Stegostoma tigrinum: one gene and its partners. The protein of the gene in region 3 purifies or fractionates together with the protein of the main gene of each other region. This does not show direct contact. Links are inferred from orthologs where the notes say so. Each region holds a gene or a part of one and is shown on either strand. Other genes may lie near its edges.

What was found.
Region 1: the proteins of (E3-independent) E2 ubiquitin-conjugating enzyme UBE2O (region 3) and recql4 purify together in Homo sapiens (affinity purification with mass spectrometry; 3 studies listed by BioGRID, with this or other methods). This does not show direct contact. The link is inferred for Stegostoma tigrinum from reciprocal best matches to the Homo sapiens genes UBE2O and RECQL4.
Region 2: the proteins of (E3-independent) E2 ubiquitin-conjugating enzyme UBE2O (region 3) and nap1l4b purify together in Homo sapiens (affinity purification with mass spectrometry; 3 studies listed by BioGRID, with this or other methods). This does not show direct contact. The link is inferred for Stegostoma tigrinum from reciprocal best matches to the Homo sapiens genes UBE2O and NAP1L4.
Region 4: the proteins of (E3-independent) E2 ubiquitin-conjugating enzyme UBE2O (region 3) and epb41l5 purify together in Homo sapiens (affinity purification with mass spectrometry; 3 studies listed by BioGRID and IntAct, counting the BioPlex papers as one, with this or other methods). This does not show direct contact. The link is inferred for Stegostoma tigrinum from reciprocal best matches to the Homo sapiens genes UBE2O and EPB41L5.

The regions. Positions count from the first base shown.
Region 1 is NC_081355.1:155,526,266-155,533,144, reverse strand, and holds the start of recql4 (ATP-dependent DNA helicase Q4), read right to left. Parts: upstream 3,005-6,879; 5' UTR 2,975-3,004; coding exon 2,801-2,974; intron 392-2,800; coding exon 358-391; intron 1-357. UniProt on the Homo sapiens protein: An ATP-dependent DNA helicase which unwinds dsDNA with a 3'-overhang in a 3'-5' direction. Does not unwind more than 18 bp of dsDNA. May modulate chromosome segregation. The N-terminal domain (residues 1-54) binds DNA Y-shaped DNA better than ss- or dsDNA.
Region 2 is NC_081370.1:8,636,536-8,643,809, forward strand, and holds the start of nap1l4b (nucleosome assembly protein 1-like 4b), read left to right. Parts: upstream 1-4,273; 5' UTR 4,274-4,374; exon of another isoform or gene 4,375-4,380; intron 4,381-4,415; exon of another isoform or gene 4,416-4,533; intron 4,534-7,274. UniProt on the Homo sapiens protein: Acts as a histone chaperone in nucleosome assembly.
Region 3 is NC_081375.1:2,583,990-2,590,843, forward strand, and holds the start of (E3-independent) E2 ubiquitin-conjugating enzyme UBE2O, read right to left. Parts: upstream 3,010-6,854; 5' UTR 2,993-3,009; coding exon 2,507-2,992; intron 1-2,506. UniProt on the Homo sapiens protein: E2/E3 hybrid ubiquitin-protein ligase that displays both E2 and E3 ligase activities and mediates monoubiquitination of target proteins. Negatively regulates TRAF6-mediated NF-kappa-B activation independently of its E2 activity.
Region 4 is NC_081360.1:89,538,496-89,546,472, reverse strand, and holds the start of epb41l5 (band 4.1-like protein 5), read left to right. Parts: upstream 1-4,955; 5' UTR 4,956-5,150; coding exon 5,151-5,330; intron 5,331-7,977. UniProt on the Homo sapiens protein: Plays a role in the formation and organization of tight junctions during the establishment of polarity in epithelial cells.

The DNA of each region.
Region 1 (6,879 bases), on a different chromosome or scaffold from region 3:
CCTTCTCTATTTTCCCAAACTACTTCCATTCCTTCCTTCTTCATGGCTCAGTAAACTTAGGTTTGTATTTTTATCGAGCAAAACATACAAGTTAATGTATCTGTAACAACACAATCCATAAACTAGGAATCTCACCTTTGATGATAAAAACCAAAAAATCAGAATGGCTTCAGAACCACAAGAAATCAGAAAAAGCTGCAAAGGAGAATATGTCATGATACATGCTGCATGGATACTTTCCCTGCATCCCAATTGTACGACTAGAAGTGGGTACCAGTCATTCTTTCCCCTCCATCCACGACCAATAAATTGGCTAAATTAAGGAAACAAGACGTATTCCTTTCATACATTACTTACTTTGAGTCTCCTCTGAAGCACAAGCCACATCAACCTGAAGAGGAAAATTTTAAGGAATAGTAAGTTTCCTTTGACAGACAGAGCAGCTTTATTCCACAAAATTAAAAGATCATAATTTGAAATTGTACTTTATAACCAACGGCTACGTGAAGCAGCCACACAAAACCACATCAGCTTGATCCGCACCATCACACAATGCATTTCCTCCATCAAGTCAAAGTTTTAAAACATCATGAGTGGTCTGTGTATTTCTAGATGAGACCAAATTGATTTGCGTGACCAGCAACACAGGTATGCGCCAAAACCAGCAGAGGGAAAAAATAAAAGTATGGAAGACCAAATTAAATTTGCAATGAGTCTGAAGGTACCACGCCAGAACATGGGAAAGGGAATAGGCCACTCATCCTGTTGAGCCTGCTCCATCATTCAATACATTCATGATGGACCATCCGTTACAAGATCGGCTTAGGGCAAAAGAGACATGAGCGTGCTGGTGTTAGAAGTAATAGCAAAACAGATAAAAATTTGGCTAAGCTTATAGGGAAATCAATTGGGTCCAAAAATATTTCTCTTCTAAAACTGGGCAAATCTGAAAGCCATCAAAATAGTAACATCCTGATTGCCAAAAAACTCACAACCAAGACAAAAAAAGTCATCAAATTTCAGCCGAAAAAAGGTCATGGCAGGATTCACTGGACTTAAGGGTTCAATTTATACCAATTCCATTGGTTATTCACAGAGATTAAGCAAACAATGTAGCCTATTTGTGAGGATAAGATTATTGATAGTTTTTCAGATAATAAAGGTTGAGGGTAACGTGGATACTAGAGTGTCTCCAATTTGGCACACACCCAAAGACCCAAGACTATCAGTGAATAAAAAATGAATGCATGGTATTTCTCCAAATTCAATATAAGCTATTGCAGAATTAGAGGATGTAACATTTTATTTATGCAGTCCATCATGTTATAAAGTAGAGGCTGACCCCACCTCACCAAATAACTAAAACCAAAAACACCCAGACCTTGCCTTGCCTTATAATTTGTTAATAGAAAGGAGTGTGAGAAGTGATATAACCTGCTTCTCAGCAACTTCTAGTGGTTAAATAAAAGAAGTCCCTGACATTCACTTTACAATTAACAATTTATTTTTCTAACAGTGAACAAATTAGCTAAACTATTACCAAAATGAATAAATCCCTTCTATGTACTAGCTATTCCTGATTAAAACAGGAATTGAATGGTCTGCTTTCCAATAAATACTAGTCTCACTTACATAACAAAATTAAACAGACTTCAGTCTCTCACAATTACAGCCAGATTGTCTTTTAGAATGCTCTATACATTCTCCATCGAATGTTCTGTCAGGAATATTAACTCGCTGTGCCTAGGTACCTTCGGTTTACATGGTGCTTTCTCGAAAACTTAAGAGAAGACCGTGACAGCTACCAATTCTCTCGAGAGCTGTTAACTCTGGCGGATGGCAGTTAATTTTTCTGATTTTTTTTTGCCAACTGCCCTCTCTTTTATACCCTTGACAGTATTGCAATTTCTTGCAACAGGATTGGACCTATGTTGTCAAAAACATCAGACTTAAAGTTAAATGATTTTTGGTCTCTAAGTGCCTGGTTCAAATTGATTAACTAAAATCAAAACTTATTGTCTTACTAACAAAACAGAACAGCTGCTCAGCCTGTTAACTATAAGGCTTTTGATACAAATATTTCAATTCAGATGCTCTCTGTGTATCCGCAAACCCATAAGCTGCTGCCCACAGACATTTTGTTTAAATCCCTAAGTATAGAAAAAACACATAGTCTTTTAAAGGGACCATGTATGGTTTTCTCCCCTGGCATTTTACAAACACCAAATTCTAACATCCTGCCTTCCAATCCACAATACTCTAACCAACTTCGCAACAATCATCATTAATCTGCTATTTACAACTTTCAAAAATGTAAAAATTCTCTTAAAGGTAGTTATTGTGCAGCTATGTGAAAAAAAAACAATGTTTAAAAGGTCATTCTTTTTACATTCTGTTTACAGGCCCTTACCAAGTATGCAGATCAGTGAGTTTTTTAAAAATTGCGTTCACTGACCGAAACACTGCTCAATGTCACAAGGCAATGTGAATTGTGAAAGGCAATGCAAATTCTTTTCAATACTTCAACAGGTACAGGCAGCTTAGATTATTTTTTGCAAGTTTTGAAGAAGGGACCCAAAGTGCTGACTCTGCTTTCTCTGCACAGATGCTGCCAGACCAACTGAGTTTCTTCAGCTATTCTGTTTTTGTATCAAATTATTTTTGATGGCAACCTATCAGGAACTAACTCTTACAGGAAGCTGTGCAGCCAGTGACATTTGAATCAGTTAAAGTTTTTCTGATAGGTTTTCAAACCATGTATGCTTTGGATTCTACACTCAGTTTCTAGATTCCAGATTACCTTTGTTGGCTTCCGTCTGTTTATCTCAAAGAACGAAGTCTCCCACTTCTTCAGCGCAAGTTTTAACTCATTGTATCGATCCATTTCCCAATAGCAGTCCACACTGGTTTCTCTCAATCCTTCATTTGTTTCTACAAGAGAAAAAAAAAGACAAAATAAAACATTTGATTGCATGCAATTTTTGGAAAGTTAAAAAGCGGACATTAGTTCATTTACCAAAAGATGAAACAAAGTAGTCTTTGACAACTTTCAGCCCTTTGGTCCTGACACATCCAACTAGGTGTATGTATTGCCCTACTTGCTGCCAATTCTTATACACTTCAAAGCCCTGTTGATTTAGGGGATCTGCGTTAGGGTGATGCTACCAGCTCCACACTTGGCCTCAACAATCTTAGAAAGTAGGGCAGGAGATGAGGGATGGGAAGATAAAAGAAAAAGTACCAGAATTCCTGCTAATTTGTTCTCATTCACTAGGAATGGTGCCTTACTCCTAATCTACTCCAAATATTTGATACATCAGTTCAATCCATTCAAACCCCTTTCTCAGCCGTACTCTGAATCCCTTTTGCATTCGCTGGCTCCACAAAGTTGAGTGCTAGTCAGCCAGAATCATTCCCAGCCACACCTAATCTTCAGCCATGGTTTTCTCCTTCCCAACAGAAAACACCATTGCCATCAGATTCCTTCCAAAAAGGTTCAGTTTTTACTTTTCATTACAGATGAAGTTGGTGTGCCGGGCGAGAGGGGTTCAAGGGCAAGGAGGATGAGGTATTGAAGCTAAGCTTAACATTATTTGCTACTCTTTTTGACTGACATTTTTGGAACCAGCAGACTGGAATCACCTGATCAGAACTTCACAACAGCCACTGGTCCAACCCTGAGAGCTCGTGATCCCACTCACGGCCAGTAACTCATGATAATGAGGTGCTGTAGTGAACAGCAGTGGTAATATATTCAACTACAATCTGCAACCTCATAATTCAGCACATGCTTCATTTTGTTGTTGCCATTAAGCTAGGGGGACTAAGCTTGTTTCCATGAGAGGCAATAGAAGAGCACAGGAACAGCACCAGGTGATCTGAAAATGAGACACAAATTTGTGGCTACAAACCAACAACATCTAACACTCAGAACGACAAGGGCAGTAGATAGATGGGGAAACAGCTGCCTGCAACTCACTCAGCATCCGGACCTAGTAATCAGAGACACTGGCTCAAAATCCCAGGATCCCCTTTCAGACAGCAGTGTGGCTGTACCCACACCTGAAGGACTGCAACAGTTAAAGAAAAATTGGAAGTGTATATATTATCATTGGTGGCTTTCTTATGAGAGAGACACTACTTCAGCAAGTCAGCATTCCAACCAACGCACCCCTGAACAATTTATAGGTGGCACCCCCGACGCCCTTCCTTAAGGCAACGTGAGATCGGCTACAAACGTTGGTCCAGCCAGCAACACACTAAAAAAAACTTAACCACAACCACTAGGCATCTTTATGATCAACAGTAGCACTTAGAAGTGGAGTTTTTGAATTCTGCTGAGAAACAACTCACTTCAGGTAGAAAGCTAGCAAGAAAGCTGACAACGGGATACAAATTACAGACAAAAAAATAAGAATCCACAGGGTCAGGAATCAGGGGTAAAAGAGAAAAGTGTTCTCGTGGAATTTGGAGTAATTGGGAAGGAGTTAGTCGAGGTGAGATGCTGACGGAGATTGGTGCCTGTTTGTTCCGACGGTGCGACAGAGAAGTGTCATCAATTTAGCCACAGGGATTCAAGGTATCGGGGCAGAGGAGCCCGAATCCAGGTCCACGGCTGAGCCGCAAGCAGGAGCTGTTCCACTGACCACCGAAACTTTGAGATAAGACTTTTTAAGATGAACTTCAGTGTTTTATTTTCTGGGCTTTACACTTCTGTGTTTTATGGTGGTGCTGGGGAGGAGTGACACGAAACAACACTGTATTTGGAATAAATACAATGAGACAATAAATCACAATGAACTTAAGCAAGATAAACTGAACCGACTGGATCGCTCAGGATTGTATTTATTTAGGATTGGGTGGGGCATGGTGAATCATAGAATCCTTACAGTGTGGAAACTGGCCATTCAGTCCAACAAGCCCGCCCACACTGTCCCTCCGAACAGCATCCCACCCAGTCCCATTCCCCTACCCTTTCCCTAAAACCCTGCATTTTCCCATGTCTAACCTACCTAACCAAAACATCCCTAGACACAACGGGTAATTTAGCATGGTCAATCCACCTAACCTGCACATCTTTGGACTGTGGGAGGAAACCGGAGCACCCGGATGAAACCCACACAAACATGGAGAGAATGTGCAAACTCCACATAGACAGTTGCTCAAGGATGGAATTGAACCTGGGTCCCTGGTACTGTGAGGCTGCAGTGCTAATCACCGAGCCACCGTGCCACACACTGCTCATTTTAGATAGTGCGGTGGTTATGTCACTCCGATTATGAATGTAAATCTTGCAAATGGAAATTCAAATTCCAGTATCAAAGCTTGGAATTTTAACTCTGCAAATCTGTACAAAGTTATTGGATTACTGTAAAAACCCATATATCTACTGCTGCTTTTGTGTGAAAGAAACTTGCAGTTGTAAATTTATTAATTTTTAACTGTCCTCTAAAAAAACCCCAGCTAATGGCTTAGTTGCATTGAAAACACTGGCAATGATACAACCAGTAGTGGTCAATAATTGCCATTTGTAACTTCTTAAAGGGTTTTTTGTTTTTAAATCAGGAAATAAGGAACATTAAATTCAAAGTTTCAATGAACGGGCAACACACAGAATATATAGACAGTGGGCAAAGCAGTGGCAGGTGGAATTTAGGAAATGTACTGCGGCGAGGCAGGAAGGATGGTCCTGGTGCTGGGGGTGGGAGAAGCCCAGAACCAGGGAACACGGAGTCAGGGTAGTGTGGTGGGACACTGAGATGTGGAGATGTCTCTTCACCCAGGAGGTGGGGAGCCTGTGGAATTCTCTCCAGGACATGGGATGTCTCCCAAGAAGGAGTCAGAGATAGTTCTCAGGGTTGAAGGGATCAAAGGGCACGGGGAGGGATGAGAAAGGGGGTGGTGGGGAGTGGGGGAGCAGGGTGCTCCGAGGGCCCACTCCCGCCCCCTCCCCCTCCCCCTCCCATTAACGGTGTCGCCATGGCAACCCAGCGTACCCCACACACACACACCTCCCCCAACCGAAGGAAGAAACCCCGTGTCCGCACGCCCCCCCCCCCGGAGGAGAGGCTCCCGGCCACCCCCCCCCCCCGCGCGCCCCCGAGGAGAGGCTCCCGGCCACCTCCCCCCGCGCGCCCCCGAGGAGAGGCTCCCGGCCACCTCCCCCCGCGCGCCCCCGAGGAGAGTCTCCCGGCCACCCCCCCCCCCCGCGCGCCCCCGAGGAGAGGCTCCCGGCCACCTCCCCCCGCGCGCCCCCGAGGAGAGGCTCCCGGCCACCACCCCCCGCGCGCCCCCGAGGAGAGTCTCCCGGCCACCACCCCCCGCGCGCCCCCGAGGAGAGTCTCCCGGCCCCCCCCGCGCGCCCCCGAGGAGAGGCTCCCGGCCACCTCCCCCCGCGCGCCCCCGAGGAGAGGGTCCCGGCCACCCCCCCCCGCGCGCCCCCGAGGAGAGGCTCCCGGCCAACCCCCGCGCGCCCCCGAGGAGAGGGTCCCGGCCACCCCCCCCCCCGCGCGCCCCCGAGGAGAGGGTCCCGGCCACCCCCCCCCGCGCGCCCCCGAGGAGAGGCTCCCGCCCCGCCCCGCCCCCCCCCCCCGAGTGTAGCGTTAATGCCCAGACGCGCGCCGCCGAGAGCAGCCTGACTGCTCGGGCGCGCACACCCGACTGTATACTTAACGCCCGGGCGCGCCCCCGACCGAGTGCAGCCTTCATGCCCGGACGCGCGCCCCCGGACACTGGGTTGGGTTGGGTTGGGTTGGGGTGGGGGAGGGGGGGAAGCAATGGCCGACGGTGTGTGGCCCCGGGTAAATGATGCAGCGTTTACCGCGAGAGCGGCCGGTACCGAGAGAACCTTCCAGAAACCGAGCTTTTCCCGCCTTTGGC
Region 2 (7,274 bases), on a different chromosome or scaffold from region 3:
AGAGGCATACATTAAGTCTACAGAAAGCAGAAGACTGCATGACAGAAGAAAATGGGTAGAGATTAGGAGGGAAGACAAAAATTAGGAAGGCAAAGAGGAATTTATGAAGTTGAAATTATGAAATAAAACAAAATATTTGATAGGTAATAATAAAATAAATGGCCTAGTGGTATTATCGCTGGATTATTAATCCAGAGACCCAGCGGATGTTCTGGGGATTCAGGTCCGAATTCCACCACGGCAGATGGTGGAATTTGAATTCAATAAAAAATATCTGGAATTAAGAATCTACTGATCACCATAAAATCATTGCCGATTGACGCAAAAAGCTCACTCACTAATGTCCTTCAGGGGAGGAAATCTGCCACCCTCACCTGTCTGGCCTACATATGACTCCAAACCCACAGCGTTCGTAGCAATCTTCAGCCAGAAGTGCCACGTGGATGAACCATCTTGGCCTCCTCAAGTGGTCCCCAGCATTACAGATACCAGTCTTCAGCCAATTCGATTCAGTCCACGTGATATCAAGAAATGTTCGGAGACACTGGGTACCGCAAAGGTTGCTGGCCCGGACAATATTCTGGCAATAGTACTGAAGACTTGTGCTCCAGAACTGCCAGTCACCAGCTAAGCTTTCCAGTACAGTTCCAACACGGGCATCTACCCAACAATGTGTAAAATCACCCAGGTATGTCCTGTACACAAAAAGCAGATCAAATCCAACCCAGCCAGTTGCTGCCCCATCAGTTTCCTCTCAATCATCGATAAAGTGATGGAAGGTGTCATCAACAGTGCCATCAAGCAGCACCTGCTCAGAAATAATCCGCTCAGTGACACCCAGTCTGGGTTCCGCCAGGGTCACTCAGCTCCTGATCTTATTACAGCCATGGTTCAAACATGGACAAAAGAGCTGAATTCCGGGGGTGAGGTGAGAGTGACAGCCCTTGATATCAAGGCTGCATTTGACAGAGTGTGGCATCAAGGAACTCTGGCAAAACTGGAATCAATGGGTATCGGAGGCAAACACTCCGGTGGTTGGAGTCATACCTGACACATAGGAAGATGGTCATTGTTGTGGGAGGTCAATCATCCCAGCTCCAGGACATCTCTGCAGGAGTCAAGGTAGTAGCCTAGGCCCAATCATCTTCAGCTGCTTCATCAATGACCTTCTCTCCATCATAAGGTCAGAAGTGGGGATGCTCGCCGATGACTGGACAATTGCACAATGTTCAGCACCATTCATGACTCCTCAGATGCTGAAGCAGTCCATGTTCACATGCAAAAAGATCTGGACAATATCCATGCTTGGGCTGACAAGTGACAAGTGACATTCAAGCCACGCAAATGCCAGACTATGACTATCACCAATAAGAGACAATCTACCACCGTCCCTTGACATTCAATGGTGTTATCATCACTGAATCTCCCACTATGAACATCCAGGGGGTTACCATTGACCAGAAACTCAACTGGACTCACCACATTAACACAGCAGCTACAACAGCTGGCCAGAAGCTGGGAATACTGTGGCGAGTAACTCACCTCCTGACTCGTCAAAGTCTGTTCACCAGCTACAAGGCACAAGTCAGGAGTGCGATGGAATACTCCCCAGTTACCTGGATCAGTGCAGCCCCACAGCACTCAAAAAGCTTGACACCATCCTGGAAACAAAGCAGCCTGCTTGATTGGCACTACATCTACAAGCATCCACTCCCTCCACTAGCGCCACTCATTAGCAGCAGTGCGTACTAACTACAAGATGCACTGCAGAAATTCACCCAAGATCCTCAGACACCACCTTCCAAACCCACGATCAGTTCCACCTAGAAGGACAAAGGCATCAGGCATACAGGAACACCACCACCTCCATGTTCTTTCAATGTCACTGGGTCAAAATCTGGAATAGCCTCCATAATAGCATTGTGGGTCTACCCACAGCAGGGGGATTGCAGCAGTTCAAGAAGGCAGCTCACCACCACCTTCTGAAGGGCAACAATAGAGGGGCAAGAAATGCCAGCCAGCCAACACCACCCACATCCAACAAAAATGAAAGATTAGCATGATAATAGGACCATTGAGAGATTGATAGGAAACAATTACAGGTAATGACTGAAAGATGATAGAAGCATTAAACAATTATTTCTAATAAAAACAAAGTGCTGGAAAAACATAGCAGGTTTGACAGGATCTGCAAAGACAAAAACAGTTAAAAGTTTTGAGTCAAGAAAACAGAAGGCTACTACTGAAAAGACAAAATTAACAAACTAAATCATCTAGATTTACAGCTCAGCTGGGAAAAAAAATCTTAAAACACCCAGCAAACCGAAGTTTCAATTTATTTCCCAAACTCACTACGCTACAGAAGTCCTGAATATAAAATCTTTAAGACTGACAAAACTGAATCCACCAGTGCTCTTGTATACCGTTAAGCCTTCTTACATGAACACTTACAAATCTAAGTTCTTAAATCTTTTCAGTTTATAATAAATTGCAGATTTTTTGACTAAACACTTTGGTCTAAAAGCAGTACAAACTATTATTTTTCTACTGAGGTCAAGAGTGCTTTCCCTGAACTGAACAATATCCCTTTTACAAAGAGAAATGGCCTATGATCTCAATCAAATCTTCAGAAGCATCCTGGATGTCTGCCTTTATCAAACATTGCTCTATTCCTCCCTCTGTCATCCAGACAGCCCTACACTGCGCCTCCTCCATTCCCCACTACACAGCTCTTAACCACTCCACCACCAAACATAATAAAGATAGCGCCAGCTGTCCTCACTTGCCACCCCAACCATCCTCTGCACCCAACGTATCATCCCCAAACTTTTGCCACCTCCAATAAGATCAACCACCTGGAACATCTTTCGCTCCCCACCCCTCTCTGCCTTCCGTGAGGACCATTCCCTTCGCCATTCCTTAGTTCGCGCCACACTCCCCACCAAGCACTCCAATCCGCCCAGTACCTTCCCCTCTAACCATAAAAGATACAACACTTGCCCACACACCACCTCCCTCACCCCCATCCAAGGCATCAAACAGCTCTGCCAGGTCAGATTCCATCTGGTGTTCCCAATGTGCCCTCCTCTACATCAGTGAGACCAACCGTAGACTAGGTGACTGTTTGGCAGAGCACCTTCACCTGGCCTATAATGGCCACTGCCCATTTCAACACACCACCACCACCAGCCGTGCCCTCCTTGCAACATGTCCATCCTCAGCTTCCCCCAGTGTCACATCGAACAAGAACGCAAATTTGAAGAACAACACCTTATCTTCTGCCTGGGCACCCTACAGCCTGTAGGACTCAACATTGAGTCCTCCAAATTCAAATAACATTCCCAGGCATCCCCCAGCTCCCTTTCCAGCCCCTTCCATTCTGCCTACTGACCCTCTCTTCCAGCCATCAACTGCATTCAACCCTCCCATCAACCAACCAGGTCATACCTGCCATCAGTGTCCACCTATCACCACCAATCTGTTAAACACCGCCCCCACCCCTCCATTTATCTGCAGCTCCCCCTCCCCCGATACCCAGTCCTGAAGAAGGGTAATACCCGAAACGTTGGCAGCTCCTTTCCTCCAGATGCTGGCCGACCTGCTGTGTTTGCCCAGCTTCCTGCTTTGCCCTGTTTGAATTAACCAAAAACTTTCAAACTCTGGAATTCCAAAACTTAAAGAAAAAAAACTTTGGATTTTTCTGCGCCAAAACCAAACCAACTGATCTCATTACTTCCATCGTCACTCCAGAAATTCCTCCTCGCTAACAGACACTGGATTAGGACAGTATTCTGCAAGGATTGTCTGATTTATTTTTTAACCCTTCAGAAAAGTAACCAATCCCCCATACACTATCCATTCTAAAACACGGACTCTAAACACTGTAATGCGCAAATCAGAAACCTTTCGTTGCAATGATTAATAAATAAATGAAAACTTTTTTTTGGTTAATCGAGCCCAGTAATAATGAAGGGAGACGCGCCTGAGCGAGTAATTTTCAAATCCTGGAGTCTCCAAGACAAACCTGTACGCTCAGTAACCTAGGGAGGCACATATCCTACATTTACATCGTGTCTTTTCGTGAGCTTTCGATGCCTTCGCACCAAAACCTATTGGGAATGGACGGTGAATCTTGGGCCGTCAGCGTCTCTCCGAAAGCTCTATTTTTAGCCGGCAGGTTAAAATTCGGCCGCCTTTAAGAGCCGACGAATCCGGCACCCGGCGGGCTCGTGCCCTCTAATTGGTCGGCTCTGTGCTCCCTGACGTCAGGCGGGGAGGGGGCGACCAATGGGAAGTGGCCTCTTTGGTGTCCGCCATTAGCGCGCGGTGGTGGCTGTGAGGCGGCCGGGCGGGAGCAACGGTTGCGGAGCGCAGGTACAGGTGAGGGATGGATAGGTGGACGAACGAACGAACGGACGGAAGGATAGATGAATGAATGGTTAGAGGCCCGGGCTGCGGCGAACAGAAAGTGCTGTCTGAGCGGCTTGTTGTAGGCAGAGGGTGAAATCTTCACGTGTTGCAGGGACATACAAGGTGGGAGTTCAGACCACCCCCCAAAAAGCCTTGCACGCCGGATCCGAGATGCGTGTTCTGCTGAATTTGAGGCTTGAAGGTTGAATGTTTACAGCGGCCGCAGTGCGGTGTTTACTCGGCAGGTCATGTTTTTAAGGTAGCAGTAAACAGACACACACACTGTGGAAGTCCACCTAGCTGTCTCTATGGGGAGGGGTGGGCCTCAGACGCCCTGAAGCTTTTAAACCAATTGGGGAGGGGGGGAAGCAATACAAACAGGATATTACTTCTGCCTGCTCCAAATGCGTAAGGTATCGTCTGTCCTTACGTGCCCATCCCCCGCCAACCTTTTACAGCATAAAGTCAGCATCACTTATCCAATCCCAAGAAGAGTCGTATTTGACTTAAAACGTTAACACTGCATTTCTCCACAAATGCTGTCAGACCTGCTGAATTTCTCAGGGCTTTGTGTTAATTTTGAATCTCCAACATTTATAGTGTTTTGCTTTTATTTATTAACATGATACTGTTTTGCCATCTTCAAGTAGTACACAGTTGGGTAATTTGATTATTAAAACTTCCAAATCAGTTCTAAGGTTTGCTTATTTGTGGATCAGTTACGTTCACGTTTAAGTGTGAATTTGCTTAACAAAGAATTAAAGGCTAAAACAAAAATAAAACCTCCTGGAAAAGTTCTATAGATCTGGCAGTGTCTGTAGAGAGAAAGCGATGCTATCACACCTACTCGCCTGTGCCAGTATTTTTAATTTTTTTTCTGATTTACAGCACCTGCAGTTCTTTACTTTTTCAATTACAAATTAAAGGCTGTTGGATAGTAGGCATGTATGGCCACCATTGGTTTTCAGAAGTATTTATTCTGACATCTTAAGTTTTTTTAAAATTACTTTGGGCACTTATGTAATATTCATCTGGAATGCCAGTGGTGCTTGTGCTCCCCAATGAAAATATGAAACAACATTTAAGATCTTTATTTCATTCTGTGTCCTTTGTTCCATACAAATTGGAAAGTTAATATGCAATTATCAATGTCTAGTTATTGGTGATAGTACTTTATTGCTGAATTGTTTCCAAGTCCATCTAATGAACTCATGAGGTGAACATATTACAAAACTCTCCAGATGTGAGTTTGCTTGCTGAGCTGGAAGGTTTGTCTTCAGACGTTTCGTCACCATTCTAGGTAACGTCATCAGTGAGCCTCCGATGAAGCGCTGGTGTTATGCCCCGCTTTCTATTTATCTGCTTAGGTTTCCTTGGGTTGGTGATATCATTTCCTGTTCTTTTTCTCAGAGGATGGTAGATGGGCTCCAAATCAATGTGTTTGTTGATGGAGTTCCAGTTGGAATGCCACGCTTCTAGGAATTCTCGTGCGTGTCTGTTTGGGACAACATATCCATCCTAGGACAAGCAGGACATAACACCAGCGCTTCATCGGAGGCTCACTGATGTTACCTAGAATGGTGACGAAACGTCTGAAAACGAACCTTCCAGCTCAGCGAGCAAACTCGCATCCAGAAACTCAACCTGAGCTACAAATCTTCTCAAAACCCATTTACAAAGCTCTGTTTGTTGAAGGGTGTTACATTTAACAAGGGAATAAAATAAGGCCCAGTTATGTTATTCACCTTGAGTAAATGATTCCATTGTATCATTTGCTGAATAGGAAATTCTGTTTGATCACCTTTTCTCAACTATTCCAACCAAAACAGACCAAATTTTCAAAACCCTTTTAATGTTGGTGTGACATTGTTACACATAATTTGACTGATATATTTGCATGTACTACAGACTGATTATTGGAAGTAACTAACTGATTGAAGTGCTTAGAGATATTCTCAGTATACAAGGTACTGTATAAATGTGAGCTGTTTGTCTGTGGATTTTTTTCTAGATTTGCCAAAGCATTTCTCAACCAATTAATTAATTTTCAGTTGCATTCTGCATTTTCATGCTAAAGTTGCACTCACTGGGAGCAGGGTTCCAAGGAGACATGTGAATAACTAGCTAATGTATCTTTTGGTGGCTTTAGAGAAGAAAGCACAAACTATTTTCTGATAATTCAGTGCCATGAATCTTTTAGAAATATACGCAGGTGAGCCTTGATTTAAAGTAATATGAAGAGTGTCAGCATCAACAAACCTGTGTCCTTCTCTAAGCACTGTGCTAAAGATGTTATTCGTGTACTTTAAAAATTCTGGAGCTGTCGTCCTGAAACTGCAATCCATTGATTCAAATATGTCTAACTATTTCATAAGATTGTGAGAAATGGGAACATTTGACCCTTCAAACCTGCTCCACTGATCCGACATTCCGCATATCCACTTTCCTGCCTTTTCCCTGTGGCCCTTGATTCCCCTACTGATCAAAAATCTATTTATTTGAGCCTTAAATAGCCACAGCATTTCACGTGGAGTTCCAAAGCCACTCAGCCCTCTGAGGGAAGGAATTCCTACTTATCATAGTCTTAAATTGAAGCCCCTTTTATTATGAGGCTATGCCCTCAGGTCCTAGACTCTTCCCATGAGGGGAAACATCCTGTTGGCACTTAGTCTGCCAAATCCTTTAAGAATCCTATGTGTATCAGTGCAATCACTTTTCTGTCTTCTAAACTCAGACTCCCAACCTGTTTAACCTTTGCTTAAAAGCGAGTCCCTCCATACCAGAGATCATTCAGTTTGATAATTTCTGTGCATGTTTTAGTCTGATTTTTATAGTTAAGTAATTTTAAAATCCCATTATGAAGT
Region 3 (6,854 bases):
GCATTCCATGCTCTCACAACTCTGTGTAAGACAGCTATCTCAACACCATTAGTGGGCAGAGATCTAGTGGAGAGATGTAGTGTTCTAGGAAACTTGCATATGAATTTGGAAAATGGTAACCTCATTCAACGATTCTAGAAAGAACACCAGAATAAGAAACAGGAAAGTAATCAACACAGTCCCTCAAGCTTGCTTTATAAAACCATAGCTGATCGGGTCTCAATTCCACTGATCACCTAGTCCCTATAAAGCTCGATACCTTTATGGTTTAGGATATCTACAACTCAGTACCAAATACGTTCAATGATTAAAGTTTCTACAGCCCTTTATGGAAATTCACAAAATTAGGGAAGAATTCACCCTCATCCTAGATTGGAGATGCTTCATTCTGAACCTGTGTCCCTTATCTCTACAATCCCCAATGCAATGAGAATGTATTTAGTATTTACCCTATCAATATTTCTAACCTCCAATGAGAAAAGGTCCCAGATTGCTCAATTGCTTCTTTAGACAATGTTGGATGGGGGAGCATTTACAAGGTCAAAGTGGTCGACTGTCAGTTTGAAGAGGGGTAGTGAGGGAAAATGTGAAAGGGGGTAGGGACAGAACCCAAGGAGTAAAACTAGGGCAGGAATAAGCTTTCAAGGAGGTTTGACCTAGGATGGTACAGGTAGGGAGGAATCCAACAGACATTGCCGATCAGATAGTCTCAATCTTAGTGACAGAAAAAATACCACAACTTCCTTGGACTTGTTGCTGGAGGTGAAGGTAATGAAAACAAGAGGACAATTTTTATAGAGTGAGGCTTGAGGAGACTTTGTTGAAGGAATAAGATCAAAGACATGATAACACAAAATATTGTCTCAAAGCCAAACTCAATCATCCACTAAAAGCTCATGGACTCCAGGAGTTTTGGCTCTGAGTGAATACTACTGTATTGTTGTAAAAGCTGATCTGGAGGATGATGCCAATAGGAGCAACTGAAAGGCAGAACACTGGGAAATTCCAGGTGCTCAGCTCCTGGAACAGTGAGCTGGACAGAGAAGTTATGGTTCTCCCAAACAATTGCTGATTTCAGGTTTCTACAGTAGTGGCGAGTTTAATTGTTCTTGGAACGTGGTGGGTGTCACTGGCGAGATCAACATTTGTTGCACATTCTTAAATTCCATTGAAGATGGGGAGATTGATCAACATTGTAATTTTGGTTTTACATAGCTGAGTGCATTGCTAAGCCATACAGCAGTTAAGAGTCAACCACATCGCTGACCCTGAAATCACAGGCCAGACCAGGTCAGAGCAGGTCAGAGCAGGTTTCAAGCTCCAAGAGGCAGATCAGCTTTTACAACAATACAGTAGTTTGAGTCACAAATTAATGAACTCAGTTTAGGTTCTTTTACCTATCATGGTAAAACATCCCAATGACACTGCTGTCCCATGGAGAAAGCCAATTTTAAAATATATCTTACACAATTGCTGCAGTAAATCTTATACTTAGGAGAAACTGCAGTCACACCACACCCATGGTGAAGGGAGCAGTTGTTTAAGATGGTTGATGGCCTTTAATCAAGCAGACTGCTTTGCCCTAGACAGTGTTGAACTTACAGCATCATTAGTATGCCATAACAGAATAGTGTCACTCCTGGCTTCTATTTACAACTGGTTGTCAAGCTTCAGGATTCAGAAGTTAGTCTAATTACTACACAACACTCGGTCTTAAACTTCATTCAGCCATAGAACACATGTGAACAGATCAGATAAGTTTCTGGTCAATGGTAACTCACCATCCACCAAGGTTTCTGCACATCATTGTACACGTACATTTCATGAATGGAAAATCAACAGAACTGGTGCACAACAGCAACCGCCAGAAAAGTGTAAAACTCTATAGGTGTGAAGCTGAAAAAACACAGGTCATCCAAGCAGGAAAGTCAACGTTTTGGGCCAAAACCCTTTGTCAGGGGAAGTTGTGAATTCTTCTCAGTGATGATCACTTTACAAAATTGGGCAGGAGGCAGAGAACATGGTCTCATTCAAACCTGAACAAAGTGGACCCTGTCTAGCCTGGGAGATTTTTTTTTAAAAAAGGAAAAAAAAATTAGGATTTCAATGCACAGGCAGAAGGGTATTCAGCACAGCTGAATCATATATACACCAACATACATGTCAAAGACCACAGGAACATGGAACTACACACAGTCATTCAGCTCTTCCAAATCACGGCTGATCTGATTTTAACCTCAACCCCACGTTTCTGCGTATCCCTTCGTAATCAAAAACCTATCCACCTCTGCCTTTTAAAAATGGTGCATCCGCTGCCTTTTCAGGAAGGGAATTACAGGCATTCAACCCTCACAAACAAAATGTTCCTTTATCCCATTTTAAAAGAAATACTGTTGCCCAGAGTTCCTACTATGCCTTAGTTCTACATTTTAGTTCAACAGAAAACATTCTTTCAGTGTTTCACCGAAACCCCAGCAGCCCCCTCTCAGCATCATGCCAATCTCACCCTGATTTCCTTCACGTCCTGCTTGCCACCCTCGGGATACCACTGCACCCGGACATAACCTTTCTTAAGGGGTCGCTCCCGGCCGGCGCCCTCCTCGTCCGTGTCCGAGCTCTCACCGCTACTGACCTCGCCATGAATTAAACCGACAATGCCGTGCCTCAAGGCCCCCTTGTAGGTGCCAGACACAAGGTCATCCACAAACAGGAGCCGTTGGCTGCCTGGGGCCGGGGACTGCGCGGGAGATGGTGCAGAGGATGGAGAACCTGGGACGGCAGGCCTCGGCTCTCCAGTGGCCGTGAGCAGGGGCCTCGGATCCCCAGGTGTTCCTCTGCCACCAGGGCCGGGTACCACAATGCTACCGGGACCGGGTTCCCCGGGTGTCGGGCTGTCCTGCGGCCCAGATGCCTCACACGGCAGACTATCGCCTAGCCCCGGATCACCGGGTGCTGGGCTACCGCCGATACCCAAATCCGCATCCGCCTCCATCGCCGCCGCTGGGAGAAGCCGCCCGGCAACGTGGTGACGTATTTACGTAGCGTAACCTTACGTCATAGCACGCTGGGGGCGGGACACCATGGTTGCGACTTTGATTGGTCGCTTCCTGGGGCGGGACAATCCTACGGGGCGGGGCAGTGTTTTGTTACCCACCCTCTTGTGTAGCCCCACCCTTTACGGCACATCCCCGCCCCGTTTGTCCCACTGTCCCCATTAGCCCCGCCCTATTTACCCATCCCCGCCCACTATTAACACCGCCTTCCCAACTAGCCCCGCCTATTTCTGCCGGCTGGCCTTGCCCTCCTTGTTAATCCTGAGATAGCTCCGCCCTCCTTGCTAGCCCCGCCTATTGATGGGTGTGCCCATGGCCGGGGAAACTGATCGGGGTGAAGGATCAGGATGTGGAATGCTGAGATTTTCGGAAATCTCTTCGTCAGGTCTCAGAGATGAGGAAACAAAATTACAACAGGTGGGACTGGGAGGATAGAAACATTATCTTTTAATGTTCGGACAGAATTAGACGCAGCTCCAGGCACGTGGAACTTGAGCCCAAGCCTTCAAGTGCAGACGTAGCGACATTACCATTGCGGATATCATTAAGGGATTTATTGGCATGGATTGAGAACTGGCTAATGGTCAAACACAAATCAATGCGTCACTTTCAAGTTGGCAGGCAAGTGACTAGGGTACAGGAGAATCAGTGCTTCACACTCGACTGCTCACAATTTATATCAATAATTTGGACGTGGGGATAAATGTAATGTTTTCAGCATTGCAGCGTTGGATTTTAAAGATTGGCCAGGTGGTTGACATTGAGGGAAAAATTGTTAGGTTACAGGAAGATATAATTTGATATAATCTGATTTGTCAGGTGGGCAGAGCAGTGGCAGATAGAGTTAAACACGGATGTGTGCAGTGATGCACATTGGAGGAAGTAACAAAACAGAGGAGTACTCATTTCCTGAAGAAGGGTCTAGACCTGAAACATCAGTTTTCCTGCTCCTCTGATGCTGCTTGGCCTGCTGTGTTCATCCAGCTCTACACCTTGCTATCTCAGATTCTCCAGCATCGGCAGTTCCTACTGTCTCAGTACTCAATGAATGGCAGGACACTAGGAAGATCAAAAAACAGATGGATCTAGGGATGCTTGTCCTCAGATTTCTGAATGTGGAGATGTTGGTGTTGGACAAAGTCAATGTCACACATGTTTACTTGAAATCACAACCTTTCAAAGCATGGCTCCTATGCCAGGTGCAGTGAGAGAGGAACACACAGAACAGAGCTTATAGGCAGAGAGATCAAAAGATCAAACAACTGGTGTGAGTAGAGTGTCAGATGATAAATCTCTGCAGGTGACCAAGAGTATTACACAGTGGATAAAGTGTCAACAGCTGACACTTGTGGGTGGCATGGTGGCTCAGTGGTTAGCACTGCAGCCTCACAGCGCCAGGGAGCTGGGTTCAATTCCTGCCTTGGGTGACTATCTGTGTGGAGTTTGCACACTCTCCCTGTAGCTGCATGGGTTTCCTCCGGGTGCTCCGGTTTCCTCCCACAGTCCAAAGATGTGCAGGGTAGGTGGATCGGCTATGCTAATATGCCCGTAGTGTTCAGGGGTGTGTGGGTTATAGGGGGATGGGTCTGGGTGGGATGCTTCAACAGGCGGTGCGGACTTGATGGGCCAAAGGTCCTGTTTCCACACTGTAGGTAATCTAATCTGATAACCATAATCCAATTAAGTGAGGCAGAGATAGTTATGAGAAAATTAGAAATAAGGTGGTGCTAGAGGCAAAATAAATTACAACTAACATGATAGGTATAAGAGTCACATGGGGAGGGTCCAACCAAACTAATAAGTAATACAAAACTGTACAAACTAATAATGGGACAGAGATCATAACAATTTATCAAGGGGGTGCTAGGACAGTGGGGAAGATTTTACAGATACAAAACAGTGTGGTGGGGTCACTTGTAGGACAACATGAACCCAAGATTACGGTTGAAGCCATCTTCATGGATATAGAACTTGGCTATCAATCTCTGCTCGGTGTTTCTGCGTTGTTGTGTATCTCAAAGTCCACCTTGAAGGATGCCTGCCTGAAGATCAGAAGCTGAATGCCGTTGACTGCTGAAGTATTCCCCCACTGGGAGGGACCACCCCTATCTGGTGATTGTTGAGCAGTGTCCATTCAACCATTCATCCTGGCACAATACTCATCATCAATGACAGGTTGAAGGCTGTGAATAACACGGCATAGTTTCTCCACTCTGACAAAGTACTGGACAACAAAGGGTATCCTATAGGTCATATCCTGTGTCCATCTTATGGAGAGGTCTTTGCGATTTTCTGTGGTGGCACATCAGAACTGGTGATTGATGAGCTGAGCATTGTATCCCGTCCTTATGAGGGCATCATTCAAAACCTTTAGGTGTCCATCGCATTCCTCCTAATCTGAGCAGATTCAGTACTTGCCCAGAGCAGAGAAATTGCACCATATTCTTTGCAGCCTTCAGCATGTCATCAGTGGCGATGAGCATCTCTCTACGCCTCCATTTCTCACCTTCAAAAAAACCACCAAACCTTAAACAGACCACTATTCGCAGCAAACTACTCAGCCTTCAGGTCAACATTGACCATAATGCCACACAATCCTGTCATGGCAACCTCTGCAAGACATGTCAGATCATCAACATGGACACTACCATCACACATGGGAACACCACCCACGATGTACATGGCAGATACTCATGTGACTCGCCCAATGTTGTCTATCCCTTACGCAGCAGGCAAGGATGCCCTGAGGCATGGTATTTTGGTGCAACCACACAGAAGTTACAAAAATCGATATTTGGACACTGCACAACAATGACCAGAAAGAAATGTTCCCTCCCAGTTGGAGAACACCAACGGTCAAAGACATTCAGTCTCCGATCTTCAGATAAGTGTCCTCCAAGGTGGACTTTGAGATACACAACAATGCAGAATCACCAAGCAGAAACTGACAGCCAAGTTCCATACCAATGAAGGCAGCCTCAACTGTGATCTTGGCTTTCTGTTTCACTACATGTGATCCCACCGCACTGTTCTGTATCTGTAAAATCTTCCTCACTGTCCTGTTTTGACACCATCATCTTGATAAATTGGTATGATCTCTCTGCCTTAAGTAGTTTGTACAGTTTTGAATTAGTTGTTACTTCGAGTAAAGCCTCGGCATGTATCTATCATGTTATTCCCGTCATTTAGTTTGCCTCCAGCACCACCTTATTTTTAACTTTTTGTGATTATCTCTCTGCCTCATTTAATCAGATTATAGGTCATCCTAATCGCTGGTTATTCAGCTGTTCACACTTTACTCACGGTCTAACAGTCTTGGTCACCTGCAGAGATTTATCATCTGACACTCCAGTCACACCAGTTAGTTGATCTTTTGATCTCTATGCCTATAAACTCTGTGACTGTGTGTTTCTCTCTCACTGCAATGGTCTAAAGGAGCAATGGTCTAAAAGCTTGTGATTTCAAATAAACCAGTTGGACTATAACCTGGTTAATAAAGTGTGAAGCTGGATGAACACAGCAGGCCAAGCAGCATCTCAGGAGCACAAAAGCTGATGTTTCAGGCCTAGACCCTTCATCAGAGAGGGGGATGGGGTGAGGGTTCTGGAATAAATAGGGATAGAGGGGGAAGCGGACCGAAGAGACTATGACCTGGTGTTGTGTGATGTCTGACTTTGTCCATAGATTTCTGAACGCAGCAGAACAGCTTGGTAGGGTAGTTAAGAAGTCATATAAGATATTAGCCTTTATGAATGGATTATAAGAGCAGGGAGTTTGTATTAGAGCTGTACAGGACCTTGG
Region 4 (7,977 bases), on a different chromosome or scaffold from region 3:
TATGAAGTGCTATGTTGTCTGACAAAATTATGTTTAAGAAAGTAGAAAATATTTTTGCACTTTTTAACATCATGATCTTGGAGGAGACCACCAAATTGAAGTTATAACTTGGCTATGGACTTGTAGATCACTTTACAAAGTAGACAAGCTGTGAGATCCCAAGAATTTACAAAGAGTGGGATGCCATTAGATTCTTCTGTTGTGAACAAACAACAATAAACTCTTTTTAGTCAATGAACTTAATTATAAAGAGTTAGAAAATTTAAAATAATCTTTAATACCTGTGCAATTATATTTTAATATCCAGAATTAAATTGAGGTAAACATGGGAGACAACTGAAATCAAGTGACTTGCTTGAAGAGTCAAAGGAGGAAATCAGGTGAGAAGGGGGATATGAGATAGCCTTGGCAGATAAGGTTAAAGATAATCCAACGACATTCTACAAGTACATTAAGAGGAAAAGAGCAACGAGGGAGAGAATATGTCCCTTGATGATCAATGAGATTGTCTATGTGTGGAACCTGAGGAGGAATATACTGAATAGAAATACTAAATGAATATTTTGCATCAGTATTTTCTGTGGAAAAAGACATGGAAGCTAGGGAACTTGGGAAGTAACTATCAATGTCTTAAAAAGAGCCTACGTTATAGAAGAAGGGTGCTTGGAGTTCCTAAAAACATGAAAATGGATAAGTCCTGGAGACATAGCCAAGTGTAGCCCAGACACTTAGGAAGCTAGGGAAGAAATTATGGAACCCCTAGCAACGATATTTGTATCATCAACACCCTCAGGTGGAGTGCTGTAAGATGGGAGGGAGGCTAGTGTTTGTGGCTTTATTTAAGAAAGACTGCAAGGAGAAGCCTGAAAACTACAGACTGGTGAGTCTGACATCAATGTTGCATGTGTTGTTGGAGCAGATTCTGAGAGACAGGATTTGCATGCATTTGGAGAGGCAAAGATTGATTAGGGATGGTCAGCATGGCTTTGTGCAACAGAAGTTGTGTCTCTCAAACTTGATTGAGTTTTTTGAGGATGTGGCCAAGAAAATAGATGAGGGCAGAGCAGTAGAAGTTGTCTACATGGACTTTTAGTAAAGTCTTTGGTAAGGTTCCACATGGTAGACTGGTTAGTAAAGTTAAATCGCATGGGACTTAGGAAGAGTTTGTAAACTGGACACAAAATTAGTTTGATGGTTGGAGACAGAGGATTTTGGTAGAGGGTTATTTTTCAAACTGGAGGCCTGTGTTTTCCACAGATCTATTGTTGTTTATCATTTATTTATGTTTGAATAAGAATTTGGGAAACATGTTTAGTAAGTTTGCAGATGACACCAAAATTGATGGAGCAGTGGACAGTAATGAAGGTTACTACAATTACAGAGGGATGTTAATAAATTGGGCCAATGGCGAAGGAGTGGCAGATCAAGTTTTAATTTGGATAAATGTGAGGTGTTGCATTTTGACAAGACGAAAAAGGCACGACTTGTACAGGTAATGGTAGGACCTTGGGGAGTATTGTTAATCAGAGAGACCTGAGGTTCAGATACGTAGTTCTTTGAAAGGGTGGTAAAAAAGGCATTTGGCACACTTGCCTTCATTGCTTACACCAATGAGTAAAGGAGTTGGGATGTCACACTGGAGTTGTACAAGACACTAGTAAGGCCACTTTTGGAGTACTTGTACAGTTCTGGTCACCCTACCAGAGGAAGGATATTTTAAAATTGGAGAGGATGCAGAAAAGATTTACAAGGACTGGAGGGTTAGAGTTATAAAGAGAGGCTGGATAGACTGGGATGTTTTTCATTGGTGGAGAGGTGACTTTTTATAGAGGTTTATAAAATCCTGAGGGACACGGATAAAATGAATAGCAAAGGTCTTTTCCCTAGGGTAAGGGAGCTCAATACTAGATTGCATGCATTTTAAAAAAAAAACTTGGAAAGGTTCAGATGTTTGTGGACAGAGAGGGAAAGAAAACAGTGACACCCACAGGAATAAATACATTGTTTTAAATTTACATCACTCTTCCAGAGATGATAGAATTATGGTAACGTCACTGAATTAGTAATCCATAGGCCAGACTAATGCTCTGGGATTTAGAAGGCAGTAGAATTTTGCAATAAGGCTGGAATATAAAACTAATTTCAGAAAAACTGGCTAGGAAACCATTATCGATTTTCATTAAGAAAGCCTATGTTTAGTTCATAAACAATCTTTTAGCAAGAAAATTTGTCATCTTTACCAAGTCTGGTCGACACTCAATTCAAAGACAATTAGGCTTGGGGCAGCAAATGCTGGCCTTGTAAATGACAGCCACATCCCATGAAAGAGTGATAATAACACATTTTAAAGTCTGACATATCTGCCTCAGCAGTGCCCATTTCTCTCACTGGGGAAGATTGCTGACCATTGTTGCAGGCTTGCTGCTTGGCCTCTCCATCTCGAGAAGCTGCCTGTTTGCCAGTTCAGAGGTGCTCAATCAGGAGGCTGTGTCATATAAATGGCACCGCTATCCACCTTAACACCATAAGACATAGCAGTAGAAATTAGGCCATTCTGCCCCACCAGTCAATCATGACTGATATGTTTCTCAACCCCATTCTCCCACTTTCTCCCTGTAACCTTTGATCCCCTTAACAATCAAGACCCTAACTATTGCTATCTTAAACATACTCAGTAACCTGGCCTCCACAGCCTTCTGTGGCAGTGAATTCCATAGATTCACCACTCTCTGGCTGAAGAAGTTTCTCCTCATCTCCATTCTAAAAGGTCTTCCTTTTACTCTAAGGCTGTGCCCTTGGGTCCAAGTCTGTCCCACCAATGGAAATATCTTCCCAACATCCACTCTGTCCAGGCCATTGAGTATTCTATAAGTTTCAATTAGGTCCCCCCTCATCCTTCTAAACTCCGTTGAGAATAGGCCCAGAGTCCTCAACTATCCCTCATGTTAAGCTTTTCATACATAAGATCGAGGGAAGCGGTGGCATAGTGGGAAATGTTGTTACCCTAGTTATCCAGAAACCCAGGCTAATGTTCTGGGGCACAGGTTTGAGTTCTACCGCAGCAGCTGGTGCAGTTTGAATTCAATAAAATCTGGAATAAAAACCATTGAATCCCTAGTGTGGAGCCAGGCCCTTTGACACATCAAGTCGATCCTGATCCTCTGAACAGCAGCCTATCCAGACCGATCTCCCTATCCAATCCTTGTAGACCTGCATTTCCCATGACTAATCCATCTAACCCACACATCCCCAGGCACAATGGGTAATTTGGCATGGCCAATCCACCTGACCTGCATACCTTTGGACTGTGGAGGAAACCCATGCAAACACTGGAGAACATGCACACAGTCATCCAAAGGTGGAATCAAATGCTTGCACTGCAGGGTAGCAATATTAACCATGGAGCTGCTGTGCTGCTCTGACAAATTGAATGGCAAACACATGACTACTGTCAATTCTTGTAAATACCCTTCTGGTTCACTGGTGTCTATTAGGGAAGGAAATTGGCCATCCTTACCTGGTCTGGCCTATTTCACACCCACAGCAAAGTGGGTGATAATTAGGGATGGGCAATAAATAGCAGTGACACCCACATCCCACGAATAAAGAATGACAAGCAGGGCTAAGGGGCTTGCATATGGCTCCCTGACAAGTCTCCAGCCCCTACAGGACAATTCAATCCCTATGGTGCCTCTGGGGTAATAGCTTTAACCCTGGGGCTTGCGGATCTTTCAAACAGGGCAACCTGACGTTCACCTTAAATGGGCAAGAGCCTCATTAATCAATATGTACTTTTTTTGAAAAAAAATCTGGAAATGTTCAGAGATAATGGGAACTGCAGATGCTGGAGAATCCAAGAAAGCAAAATGTGAGGCTGGATGAACACAGCAGGCCAAGCAGCATCTCAGGAGCACAAAAGCTGACGTTTCCGGCCTAGAGTTCAGACGTTTGTGCGGAGAGAGAGAAAGGAAAACAAATTTAACATTTCTTATCGACGGACGTGTGCAGAGTGGGGATAATAAAAACGGAGACTGTGACAATTAACAGTTTGATCTGAGTTAGGAACCAAAACAGAAGTTGCCGGAAAAGCCTGGCAGTATCTGTGATGAAAAATCAGTGTCAACGTTTCAGGTCCTTGGATTGGAGGATATGGGAGTACGTGGAAGGACTTTTTTTTAAGATGACAGGGTATAGAGCTGACATCAGAAATAATGGGAACTGCAGATGCTGGAGAATCCAAGATAACAAAATGTGGAGCTGGATGAACACATCTGATGAAGGGTCTAGGCCCGAAACGTCAGCTTTTGTGCTCCTGAGATGCTGCTTGGCCTGCTGTGTTCGTCCAGCTCCACACTTTGTTATCCAGGGTATAGAGCTGGATGCACACAGCAGGCCAAGCAACATCGGAGGAGCCGAAAGGCTTACGTTTCGGGCCTGGAGCCTTCTTGCATTTTTTAAGTTAGTTTTCACAAACCATTCCCCCGCCCCCCACTCTGTGTGAGTAAATTAGACTGAGAGACGACAATACACAGCTTACGAACTGATAGGACGCACGGTTGCTGAGTTTTTAAACGAAGGGACAGGCCGCACCATTCGCGGCGCTACTCGGTTTCCAAGCCGTGCCGCACAAAGCCAAAGGTGCTCGAGGGGCACATCCACTCATCAGGATGAAGCAGGAAATCAATGCTGCAGATAACACGCAGACACTCACAAACTAAACCCACAGGCAGGGTTAATTCTGGTTTTTTTTAAAAGGAGTTGAAAACCCACAGTAAGTGTTAAATCTTGAAAACAGGTTCACTCGCGAATCCTGAGCCACCCCCAAAGAGATGGAGGTTGAGGGATTAGGAGCTGAATGGAGATAATTCCAGCCTCCTACTCCCAAAATTAAATTGGGAAGAGGCTGACGCCATTTCCTGGGATGGATTGACGCATGCTCTTTATTGTAGCTGGAAGGATTAGGTTAATTTGAAGAGGAGGTGCTGCATGTGTGTGGTTTGTGTGCAGCACAGGGGCGAGCTGTATCTCGGTTACATTGTGTTTCGGGAATTGTTACTTTTTGAAACAAGAATCGGCGACTTTGCTGCGAGTGATCAGGCGGAGGGTGGGGGGGCGGTGCTGGGGAGTTTGCAGCTGGAGCCGTGGGGAAAATGCTGGGTTTACTGAGGAGGACTCTCGGTCGCCGCACGGTGCGCCGGCACGCTGACCGGGAGAAGCAGAGGGAAGCACAGCGATCAGGGATCCACATCCCCGCGGCCGGAGACTCCAAATCCATCATCACCTGCAGAGTCTCCCTCCTGGACGGCAGTGATGTCAGCGTCGATCTACCGGTAGATCTGATCGTTTTGTTCCCCCCACCCCTCCCTCCTTCATCTCTCACTGTCTTAAGTCAGAAGTCACACGACACCAGGTTATGGTCTAACAGGTTTATTTGAAATCAAATATTTCAAATAAAATTATGTCATTTTATTATTTCGAATAAACCTATGGACCCGATGTCTTGTGACTTCTGACTTTGTCCACCCTAGTCCAGCGCCTCCACACCGTGACTCTTACTGTCTGAGACATGGCACCACTTCCTCACCTGATTTAACCCGTTTACAAACAGTTGGGATGGATTTCACAAACAGTTAGGATGGATTGCACAAACCGGAATTGATGGGAAAAGCTCAGCAGGTCTAGGCATCGTCAGTGCAGAGAAATCAGAGATAATGTTTCGGGTCCAGTGACCCTTCCTCAGAGCCGTTTCATCTCCAGGTTTGCCCACTCGGAATTTAATCCTGGGTTTGAGGGTAGGGGAATTGGAGTGAGAAAGACTAGCCCATCTCATTTAAAAATCGAAAGGACTGTGGATGCTGTAAATCAGGGACAAAAACAGAAGTTGCTGGAAAAGGTCAGCAGCTCTGGCAGAACTTTTCGAGCAACTTCTGTTTTTAAACCCATCTCGTTAAAACTGTTTCCAATATTGCAGGCGTGAAAATGCAAATCTTGCATGGGCTGGTGTAAAGACTCGGGAATATGCGAGATGTTTTTTGTGTGTGTCTGTTTTTTTTCGGGTTATTTTATCAGGATTAGTCATGACCTGGACAGTCTTGTGTCCCCGGGCTGTTTGCTTTTCCAGTTCCGCGATAAACTGGAGGAGGCTGTGGGATTGGCCAAGTGACTTCATGCGGGTGTTTTTATCAGAGGCAAATAGCTACAGTTTCAGCCTCCAGATGCGGGATCTTTACCTTAACTTGCGGCTTTCCCAAGAGGCCTGGGAATCGCTCGGCCCCCTGCCCTTATCAAATGAATCGCCGACCTCGGTGCTGATTCATCGTATCAATTACCGACAGTATCGTGGAGGGAAGGGAATAAGATATCGGAGCAGAATTTTAGGTCATTCGGCCCATCGATCCTGTTACGCCAATTGATCATGGCTAATCTGTTTCACTCAACTGTATTCTCCTGCCTTCTCCCCAGAGCCCTTGATCCCTTCCAATTAAGAACCTATCTTTCTCTCTCTTAAACACACTGAATGATGTAGCTGTCTGCGGCAATCTGTTTCACAGATTCACCAACTTCTGGCTGAAGAAATTCAACTTTATCTCAACTTTAGGGGGTTGTCCCTTAACTTTGAGGCTGTGCCCGCAGGCCCTAGTATCTCTGCTACTGGTGAATACATCTCCACGCCCACTATATTCAGTATTCTCTAAATTTCAAAGAGCTCCACCCTTAACCTTTCTTACTCCGGAGTACAGACCCAGAGTCTCCAACTTCCTGGGTGAACCTCCTCTGGACCCCCTTCAAGGCCAGCAGAGCCTTCCTTAGATACAGGGCATATTACAGATGCTGTCTGACCAGAGCCTTGTATAGCCTCTGCTGTTGTATCCTCACCCTTCTGAAATGAACGCTAACATTCCATTTGTCTTCCTAATTACCATCTGAACCTACATATTAACATGAAGGGAATCCTGAACTAGGACTCCTAAGTTCCTTTGTATTTCAGATTTCTGAAGCCTTTCTCCATTTAGAAAATAGTCCACTTCTGTATTACTTTTCTTCCTACTAAAGTGTATCACCTCGCACTTTCCCACACTGTATTCCATCTGCCACTTCTTTCCCCACTCTCCTAGCCTGTCCAAGTCTTTCTGAAATTCCCCCCTTCCTCAATGCTACATGCTCCTCCACCTATCTTTGTATTATCTGCAAATGTAATAACAATGCATGCAGTTCCATCATCCAGATCGTTAATGTGTAATGTGAATAGTTGTGGCCCCAACACTGAACCCTGCAGCACTCCATTAGTCACCAGCTGCAATCCTGGAAAAGATCTCTTTTCCCTATTCTCTGCCTTCTGCCAGTCAGCCAGTCCTCTATCCATGCTAGTATATTGCCTCCATCACCGTGGGCTCTTATTTCACAGCCTGTTGTGTGCACCTTGTCAAATGTCTCCTGAAAATCAAAACGGATCAAAATTAGCTCTTCTTTGTGAACTTGTTTGTCACCTCCTAAAAGAATTCAAATAGATTTGTCAGGCATGACCTCCCTTTGATGAAACCATGCTGATTCTCCCCATTTTACAATGCACTTCCAAGTACTCCACAATCCTTATCCTTTAATAATGGACTCTAAAATCTTACCAATGTCCAAAGTCAGGCTAACTGGCACTTAGCTTCCTTTCTTTGCCTCCTTCTCTCCTTAAACTGAGATGTTACATCAGCAATTTTCCAGTCCTGTCAGACCCTCCCTCACTCCAGTGATTCCTGAAAGATCACATTGTTAAGTGTGTACAAGAAAATTTTCGTATTTCACATGTAGATGTACTTACTAGAAAGGGATCAAAACTTGATCTACTCTTGGGGAAATAAGGCAGTGCAAGTGTCAGAGGTGTCAATGAGGGAGCACTTTGGGGCAAGTGAGCATAATTCTATTAGTTTTAACATAGCTGTAGGAAAGGATAGACCTGATCTAAACGTTGGAGTTCAAAATTGGCAG